3 linked regions of the Saccharomyces cerevisiae S288C genome follow. Changing the gene in region 1 together with any one later gene gives a genetic interaction. Each region holds a gene or a part of one and is shown in the gene's direction. Other genes may lie near its edges. The genes, in order: NOP19, UGA3 and EBS1.

What was found.
Region 2: mutations in NOP19 (region 1) and UGA3 together harm fitness more than expected from each alone (negative genetic interaction), as found in Saccharomyces cerevisiae (one large-scale study listed by BioGRID).
Region 3: mutations in NOP19 (region 1) and EBS1 together harm fitness less than expected from each alone (positive genetic interaction), as found in Saccharomyces cerevisiae (one large-scale study listed by BioGRID).

Annotation. Positions count from the first base shown.
Region 1 is NC_001139.9:994,043-996,862, forward strand, and holds NOP19 (Nop19p), read left to right. Parts: upstream 1-1,596; coding exon 1,597-2,187; downstream 2,188-2,820.
Region 2 is NC_001136.10:154,318-158,079, forward strand, and holds UGA3 (Uga3p), read left to right. Parts: upstream 1-2,000; coding exon 2,001-3,587; downstream 3,588-3,762. Other genes in the region: GLT1 (glutamate synthase (NADH)), read right to left, coding at 1-1,323; UGX2 (Ugx2p), read right to left, coding at 3,747-3,762. UniProt on the Saccharomyces cerevisiae protein: GABA-dependent positive regulation of genes required for catabolism of GABA (UGA4, UGA1, and UGA2).
Region 3 is NC_001136.10:860,332-864,093, forward strand, and holds the start of EBS1 (Ebs1p), read left to right. Parts: upstream 1-1,722; coding exon 1,723-3,762. Other genes in the region: metal cation transporter MSC2, read left to right, coding at 1-1,189. UniProt on the Saccharomyces cerevisiae protein: Plays a role in nonsense-mediated mRNA decay (NMD). Recruits UPF1 to cytoplasmic mRNA decay bodies (P-bodies). Negative regulator of gene expression. Inhibits translation most likely through effects on eIF-4E (CDC33). Involved in telomere maintenance.

The DNA of each region.
Region 1 (2,820 bases):
ATCAACCACGCTCCATGAGGCTTATCCGCATTCTACTTGCATGTTAGCCGGGAAAAGACATAAATCATCTCAATTCTCTAGAATACTCTAGAGATTATGTAAAAGCGTAGCCCCGTAGATGATTAAATAATTTTCGGTTTCTTACCCCGTAACCACGAGTTGCGGTGTTTTTGCTTCTATCGGGGCAATAAGCGGGCGCTGCTTCTCGGGAATGTAAAAACTGTGCTTCCTACCATGAAGTAGTTGGATCTTGAAATGGGTTGGGCCGGAACAATATGCAAGTACTACAATCCTTGTATTCCCATATGATTATATTCCCCTTTGCATAGGCTAGTGTTTTTTTTTTCGTTCTTTTGTTTCTTCCGCTAGGAATAGTAGTGGCGATCTGCAGAAAGACGCTCTAAGGAAAAAGAGAGAATTTCGATCAGTCCCGTACACATTACTCTTGGGAAGTTCAATTCCTTCGGACGTAATCCACATACGAACTTGGCTCTCATCTGTTGTCTTCAAGCTGTTGCGGCCCTCCTCTTTCTCTCTGTTGTACACATTTTTTGACTTTCAAAAATATGCCGCTAAGGAAACATAACCCTTGTGTATGTGAGCTTGTAGCATATGATATAGTGCTCATTGGCATGTGACAAGAATTGCGTATGTAATTGAAGTTTGTAGTGTAATTTACGAAAATAGCCGCCCTTCTTCTTCATTAACGATTATTGAGCGTAATGATATAAGATACAACGGTTTATTTAGGGCTGCATCCATGAAAATACTTTGTAATAGTGAGTCGTCGCCTTGTTTGTTTATTCAATACAATGCAGTGTCTCTATAGTCTCCTCCTTTAGTTTCACTATCTTTTCTAACCGCCGAAGATATACGAGTGTTCTGAACGAAAAACGACCTTTTCAAACATAGAATATAATTGTATATATACATATACATATATGATACGCAGCCACATTCGTAGTATCTTTAAGACACTGCCTTTCAAAAAAGCTTTGGTATTTTGAAAGAAGATCGAAGCCAAGGAACCAGGACTACAATGAATTAGACGCTACAAAGTTTCTTAATTGGAAAACAAGGAGGGACAAGGAGGAGACTTTTACAGTAAACCAGAATGCTCCTTCACTGTTCAGTTATGTAATGTTATTGTTTGGAAGATCTGAAGAGAGGCATTTCCTACAACCTCTTGAATAAAATAGTGGAAGGCATTTACACAAAGAAGCCGTGCCACTTTGGTCCGGATTTTTTTTACCTAAAATCGTCTTAAATTGGCCTGTTCGATAGCTGTCATTTGTTTTAGATATTTATTTCCTAACGTCAGCTTTAGTTACAGTATGTATGTATCAACCTTTTAGTAAGACAATAATGATTGCATGTTTGATCCTGCTTTAAAGGCATTGGAAGTAACCGTAGTGGCCGCTGTTTCTTCTTGACGGCCTGTAATTGACCTGCGACGCGGGCAATTTCTAGCGATGAGATTGGAAAAACTAACGCATAAAAAAGATTTCAAGATTTATAAGATGTTGAAACAAATCCTCTTCTCACATCTACAGTTGATACAGTATACCGTATTATCTTTCCTCGGTAGTGTTCAGAATGAGTAGGGCCAAAGAATTACAAGAGAAGCTCAACTTGCAAGCGAAACTCCAGTCTACTTTCAGTAACAATACTGCTGCAGTTTTGGACTGGCTGAAAGAATCAGATGAAACCGGCATTAGCAATGATACAGAGCGTAACAAACAGTTAAAAGATCACAAGGAGTTGGAGGATGGTAAGAAGGCATTTTTCAAGCTTCCCGTTTTGCAGATTGGATCGGGCCTACACTTCCGCACACAAGATGACGCTTCCGCCAAAGAAGATATACATACGATTGGTGAGTTTATTGAGGGTGATAAAAAGGTAAGTTCGTTGGCAAAGAAAAAGAAAAGAAGTGACCCAGGGTTGCAACGAAATAATATGTACAGGATCACTAAAGATGATACGAAAGCCATGATTGCGCTTAAAAGAAAAATGAGGAAAGGCGAGAAGGAAGGACTAAGGAAGAAACAAGAGCATAGCAAAAGCAGCGTTTCGAACTCATATAGTGCCAGTGATGAAGAGGATGAAGATGCAGGGACAATGCCGCAAAAGTCCACAAAAAAAAAATTTGGTTTACTTTTTGATAAAAAAAAGAAGGCACGTAAATAATCTTAAACACTTATGGGCAGCAAAAAATGCGTCTTTCTTCCCTCGTCTGTTGTTTTATGTAGGGCGTAATGATGTTTGCTTGTCAACAAATGAATACGTACAGAAGAGAATTCTAGCCAAGGCAATTATTGCATACTGCAAGTACTGAGTACGTTAACGTTGCTAGAATAACATTAAATGAGATGTAGCAATGCAGATCCTTCCTCAGTAGGCTTAATGCTCCACTAGAATTTTTGACCAGCCACTATTTGCTTTTTTCGCAATCCTTTTCAATACTCGAGAGCAAAGACAAAAAAAATAAGACATGTAGTGCGCTGTATGGAAAAGAATTAATTAGAACTTTACAAACGCGTGTTAAACAGGCATATTTAAGTGTTTGGACCTAAACAATATATCGACTATTGAAATTCTTACGCAAGATTTTTTATAGTTGGATATTCATATATTCTTACAACTCTCTCTACTTTCAGTTTTTTGAAGCTATATGTATCATTATATACGTTTATGGATTTTTCAAACCTAAACAATTATACTGCGTAAATGTTTGATTAAGCAATAAATAAAAACAAAGGATTGGTAAGGGAAGACCGTGAGCCGCCCAAAAGTCTTCAGTTAACTCAGGTTCGTATTCTA
Region 2 (3,762 bases), on another chromosome or scaffold:
TTTTTGAACAACCAATGAATTTTCGATAGGAATGACACCTACCTCTGAAGCACAGATAACTCTGTCATCACTAGTGATGTAATAACGACAAGGTCTTAAACCATTTCTATCCAATATAGCACCACAGTAACGTCCATCAGTGAAAGTTAACAAAGCTGGACCATCCCAAGGTTCCATCAGACATGCAGCCCAGTCGTACCATGCTTTTAGGTCAGAATCCATATCCTTATGATACGCTTCAGGAACCATCATCATAACAGCTTCAGGTAGAGATAATGTGCCATTAATAGTCAATAGTTCTAAAACGTTATCCAATGCAGCTGAATCAGAACCACCTTCTTCGATAATTGGGTATAGTTTGTCTAACTCATCTTTGAAAGTTGCTGAATTCATCACACCTTCTCTGGAGCGCATCCAATTCTTGTTACCTCTTAAGGTGTTAATTTCACCATTATGAGCTAGCCAACGTAAAGGTTGAGCTCTATCCCAAGAGGGGAAAGTATTAGTGGAAAATCTTGAATGGACCAACGCCATGTGGGATTTGAAATGCGCATTAGTCAAGTCGGGATAGTAGTTATACACTTGAGCTGGCGTCAATTGACCCTTGTAAACAATGGTGGTATTGTTTAGGGAACAAACATAGAACCAGTTTTCCAGTCCTATTTGAAGAGAGGCCTCCTTCCTTAAAAGATACAATTGAGTTCTAAATTTAGTTTCATTAAACTCCGGTTGTTTTTCATCATACAATGGAACCAATAATGGCTGTAGAATAGTAGGTTCACGAGATAATGCAACGTCTCCTAAAATAGTAGAATCTACGGGGACGTTTCTCCAACCTAATACGGATAAGTTGAAGGATGCAGCTAAATCCTCGAAAATCTTCTGACACTTAATTAAATTTTTCTTGTTATTTTTTTCGTTCTTCTTGAAGAAGACGTTACCTACGGCGTATTTGCCCATCTCAGGTATGTCTAGATCAAGATCTAACTTGAATTCTCTTTTCATAAATTCGTGAGGAATACCTAGCAGAATACCGGCACCGTCACCGTTCCCATCAGATGAGACGGCACCACGATGTGTCATATTCACTAAAAGATATCTAGCGTCAGTAACAATCTTGTGAGACTGTTCACCATGCTTATTTGCTACGAAACCGACACCACAAGCGTCATGTTCATAATCAGGGTCGTAAAGTCCTCGTTTGTCCGGAATCACATTTGCCCAAGATTTATGAAGATGGTGTTCATCGTTATAGTTTTGAATTGTCCCACCTTCGTAAGCTTCTTCCAATGGATCGAAATTGTCTGATTTCAACACTGGCATGCTTTCTTTTCTAATTCTTTTTCTAGTTCTTCAAAATAAATAAATGGCAAATAGATTAAGAAAAAAGAGAGAGTAGAAAGACAAAAATAAATAAAAAAAAACTGAAGCAGAAAAATAAATAAATAAGTTAAACGTTAATCACTACCTCAATGAGCTAAAAGAAGGGGAAGAAAGAGCAACTGAGAGTATCCGTCTGCGTAGTATAGGACTGAGATAGCAATTTCCTATCTTCCTATGATGTGGAGACGATTAGTTTGGTGTGTTATCAAGTAAGATATAAGAATTGATTAATTTGGTAAGAAATGAAACAATAGGACGAAAAATACAATAAGATAAGGAAGACCATCAGAACTTATGAATGACTAAGAAAAGCAGTTTATATTTTTTTTTTGGGCAATTTATTGCTTCTTTTTTTTACGTTTTGCGGGCATCACGTTCGTCGTGACATATGACTTGAAAAATGTGCAAAAGCTTATCGGAGCCAATCGGATTGACGCATTAAAACCGAAGTGTATTAGGACCAAATTTGCGCTGTATAGGGTTGAACGGTAGGGCTACCAGGGTCTGAGTCATCAAAGAAAAAGAAATTACAATAAGAGTCTTACTTAAGATGATATAGAATTGTTGTTATTGTTCATGTATGGATGCCAAGAAAACAAAGTTTTTTAAAGTGAGGTATGAATTATGGCGTGGAGAAGCTGAAATTGAAATATTCGAAGCATGGGTGTATTACTTGCAAGATCAGAAAGAAGAGATGCTCTGAAGATAAACCTGTGTGCCGGGACTGTCGTCGATTAAGTTTTCCCTGTATCTATATATCAGAATCTGTTGATAAGCAGTCTTTGAAAAAAATAAAGGCAGATATACAGCACCAGTTGATCAGCAAGAAAAGAAAGCATGCTCCTGACAGTGCTCAGAAAGCGGCCGTGGCCACCCGTACTCGACGGGTCGGTAGCGACGAACAGGATAACCAGGTATATTTGTCAAAACCGCTGGAAGATTGCATTTCTCAGAAGCTGGACTCTATGGGATTGCAGCTGTACAACTACTACAGGTCTCACCTTGCAAACATAATTTCCATCGCGCCCATGAACCAGAACTACTATCTGAACATTTTCTTGCCAATGGCCCACGAGAATGATGGTATATTGTTTGCTATTCTTGCTTGGTCAGCTAATCATTTGTCTATATCATCATCAAATGAGCTGCGAAAGGATGAAATATTTGTCAACTTGGCGAACAAGTATACATACATGTCGTTATCGCATCTAAAGACAAACGAGGGCTCAAGTGCCTGTGCTAAACTGGGGTTTCTATATTCACTAGCACAAATCCTAATCTTATGTGGTTCAGAGATATGTCAGGGTGATGTGAAATTTTGGAAGATATTATTGAATATAGGAAAAAATTTGATCGAAAACCATGTGGGCAAGGATGTCTCACGGATACTAACCACTACTACAGAAGAACCCTCCCTAGAGGAGAGGATAATCTTCCCCAATTTCAATTCCGTTGTTAAGTACTGGCTGATTGTGAATTTTATATATCATGATATTTTGAATTTCAATACAACGTCCTTCCCGATCGAACAATACGAGAAATTCTTCCAAAGGGATCAGAACTCTTTACCCAGCTCAGCCAACTTTATTGAGTCAATAGACTCGCCAATTGAGGAAATAGACCCTTTAATTGGCATCAACAAGCCTATTTTACTACTATTGGGACAAGTCACAAATTTGACGAGGTTTTTGCAGACTATGGAACAGGAAGAAATGCTAGAGCATGGCGATAAAATTTTGAGTTTGCAAGTCGAGATTTATAAATTACAACCTTCGCTTATGGCGCTGGAACATTTGGATGATGAAAAGAAATTTTACTATTTAGAACTATTCGAGATAATGAAAATTTCTACCTTAATGTTCTTTCAATTAACTTTATTAAAGATTGACAAAGATTCGCTGGAACTACAGATACTGAGAAACAAATTGGACTCGAAGCTAGACAAGGTCATCGGAACTTTTTTGGAAGGATCGTTATGCTTCCCACTTTTCATTTACGGTGTATGCATTCAGGTAGAAGATATGGAGAAAAAAATAGATTTGGAAGCCAAATTTGACGACATTTTAAAACGATATAAATGTTACAATTTCCAAAATGCTAGATTATTGATACGGAAAATTTGGCAAAACGAGGCTGATGGCATCAGTGAGCATGACCTGGTCCACATGATTGACGAATTAGATTACAATATTAATTTTGCCTGAGCAGCATATATTTTCTTTCCCCGCCCCCTGGGTGTCTTAAATTATTGTTTCACCACACAAACATATATATGTTCTTTTTTTTTTTTGTAGGACGTACGGATTCAAAAACAATTTATACCTATACAATGTAGAAATGCTAACGTTGAGACATAGAAGTAATTATTTAATTAACCAT
Region 3 (3,762 bases), on another chromosome or scaffold:
TTTGTTAAGTTTACTTTTCGTCGTAGTGGCAGAATATGTTTCCAGTTTCTCTAACAAACAACCTGATTCGCACTCCCATAATCATGCACATCACCATTCCCATCTAACCGATTCATTGCCTCTCGAAAATGAAAGTATGTTCAAACAAATGGCATTGAATAAGGACACCAGGTCCATTTTTTCGTTTTTATTGTTGAATACCGCTTTCATGTTTGTACAACTTTTATATTCCTTTCGTTCCAAATCATTGGGCTTATTATCTGATTCGTTGCATATGGCCTTAGATTGCACATCTTTGCTCTTAGGTCTAATTGCTGGTGTATTGACCAAGAAACCAGCAAGTGATAAATTCCCTTTCGGTCTAAATTATCTTGGTACCTTGGCAGGTTTCACCAATGGTGTTCTGTTACTCGGCATAGTGTGCGGTATCTTTGTGGAGGCAATTGAGAGAATTTTCAACCCCATTCATCTTCATGCAACAAATGAGTTGTTGGTTGTTGCTACGTTAGGCTTATTAGTGAACCTTGTAGGTTTGTTTGCCTTCGACCATGGTGCACATGATCATGGTGGTACTGATAATGAAAACATGAAGGGGATTTTTTTACATATATTGGCAGATACATTAGGTTCTGTTGGCGTTGTTATTTCGACGTTATTAATCAAGTTAACACACTGGCCAATTTTTGATCCGATCGCCTCTTTATTAATTGGTTCCTTGATTTTACTTAGCGCTCTGCCCCTGCTAAAATCTACTTCCGCAAATATTTTACTAAGACTGGATGACAAGAAGCATAATCTAGTAAAGAGTGCGCTAAACCAGATTTCAACGACGCCAGGAATCACAGGTTATACAACTCCTAGATTTTGGCCGACAGAGTCAGGCAGTTCCGGGCATTCACATGCACACACGCATTCTCATGCAGAGAATCATAGCCATGAGCATCATCATGATCAGAAAAACGGTTCACAAGAACACCCGAGCTTGGTGGGCTATATTCATGTACAGTATGTAGACGGCGAGAATTCGACAATTATCAAGAAAAGAGTTGAAAAAATATTCGAAAATGTGTCGATTAAAGCGTGGGTACAAGTTGAGCCTCAAAATTCCACTTGTTGGTGCCGGGCTACTTCTATGAACACAATTTCAGCTAACCCGAATTCTTTACCGCTACAGCCTATAGCAAATTGACAATTCTTTGTCCTGCATACCTTTTATATTAATTTTTTAAACAAGATTTCATATACATAACGGTACCTATCGTAATTATTGGCGGCTGCTTGTGTTGATCACGTCTTACGGGAAATATCACAATGGAAGAAAAAAAATACTTCTAACGAAGGAAAAGATGTCATCCAGCATTGACCTCAAATTACCGAAGAGGTTGATAAAGCAATTAGCATCCAATCGGTATCATAATTCGGAAATTAAGGGGGAATCCTCTACATTTGGTGTTTCTTCTTTCCATATATTTTGAATGTTTTTTTCCTATGAAAAGTGTCTTCAGGAATCATATATGTAAAGAGATCATTCAATTAAATACATCATCGAACTAAGATTATAAACAAGAATTTAACAAAGTCACTTAATATATCAAAAAGAAGGCTTTTAGGAACTCAAAAATCCGCATCATTTGCAATTTAAAACGTACGTCATCAGGCGTATATATTCAAAGAAAATATCTCAGTTTCATTGCACTGGCTTACAGTTGATATTTCAATTAAATGGAACCATCGAATACCCAAAAAGAAGATCTTCCTACCGCTTTTAATGGTATAAAAAGTCAATTAAACAGCATATTAAAATCGAATCAATTATTTCAAGATTATGCGCTATTAAATGGGTTCTTGGCATTTGTTCATTCCAAATTGAATGCCGCAATCCTTACATCTATAGAATCACAATGTGGGAAATCCTTTGCGGCTGATCTTGATTCTTTTGATCAGAGCAGTATCTCTTCGATTTTAGATTTTTCTTGGGAAAGCGTTCACTATCCAATATTCAAATGGTTTCAGATGTGGAGGAATTATATTCTTTTTGAGAAGGAGAATAAAAAACAGCAGACCAAATTTATCGACTTTAGAAAGATGAATTCGAAGATGTTAAAATTCTTCAAAACGGTGCAAAACTTCTATGTCAACGTTATCAACACGGTTTATAAGAAATATGATATATCTGTACTTTTGCCGAAAAGGATTATCCAAGACTTAAAGTTAAGTGACATCGAAAATACCACTAATGTTGGAGACATTCTTGCGGTGAAGACATTTAATAGTAGTAGCCCACTCGCACATCTCATCCCAACGCTTTTCCATCGCTGTCTCTTATTCTTAGGAACAGCGTATCGTTATAAAACTCTCCTCGAAGAAATTTCCAATAAATACAGCATATCCAATTTTAAAAAATCTCTGGACTTCTTTCGTTTAGCTTCGTTGGTGTTACCAAGTGCTGGTGAGACGTATTCGCAAGCAGGAGCGATATTCCTTCAAACAGGAAATTTGGGGATTGCAGTATTCAATTTTGTTAAAGGTATGATGACGAAGATGCCAAGCCCTGTTTCAATCAAAAATTTTGGGGCATTAATGGTGGACAATAAAAGTTCATTAAATCGTAGCTTGCATACTACTATCATGAACACTTACTTACAAGAATCTAAAGGACCCAGGACACCTGCTAAAGAGATACTAGAATTTTATTTCCTGGGCCTTTTTGGGTCTGTTTGGTCACCTACCAGTTGGAGAGATGATACAAAACCTAACCAATTAAATAACGGTATCAAGTTAAGGCATTTGGAAAATGCACTCTACGAGACGATGTCAGCAAGATACCTGAATAATATTAAGACCATCTTTCACAATTTGATCATTACAATTGGTGGGTTCCATCTATTATTAAAAAGGCGTTCCGATGTAAGTGCAAAAACCTTGAAGGATTTACGTAGCAATGAATTGGATTACCTAAATTTTGCATTCAAGTATATTGCTCACATTTTAAATGATATCGTTAAGGAATCATGGAGCGAAAATCCTGAGGTTTCAGAAATTCTAGGTATGGTAAGAATTATCAATTGTTGGATAAAAGCAAATCCCATGGTTCTTCAATATTCACAAAGTAATCTAGAGTTTGTTAATGCCTTGGCATACTTGATAAATGATATTGTGAAAAAAAAACCAAGTCCTTCTTTTAGTATAACAGAACATATTCCTAAAAGGACATACTGGTTCGAAGAAGACTTAATGGTGAAGGGTTTATCATTCGTTAACTTTCAACTATCTGATTTTGACGATTATGAAAAAATTCTTGAAATGGATCATAGTCTCGATAGATTAATTGGTAATCCGCCATTATGCGACAAGTTATCGGCATCATCTGAAATGCTGTTAAGGTTGCAGGCTGTTGTGAATATAAGTTCGCAATTATTGCAGAACAACAACTGCGGAGTAGAATGGTCAGATAATAAATCACGTTATATCTTTAATAAGAAAATTGGATTTAAGGAGACCGTTAAAAATAGTATGAAGACATCGAAGCAATCCAATGAAAAGGCCAAGTTACAAAGAAAAAACAAACCTTCGACCACTAATGGCTCAATATCCATGGCGGATTTGGAGAGACAAATGAGAAGTAGCTCTTTGGATTCTTTTTCTCCAACTATGGGTTATAGTGGTTCGTCTGTACCTATGGCCCCAGATACGTTCAATGTTAAGCCCAGCGGTACAATAACGGGGAACAAAGTAAATGTAGAACTGTTAAAAATCGAACTA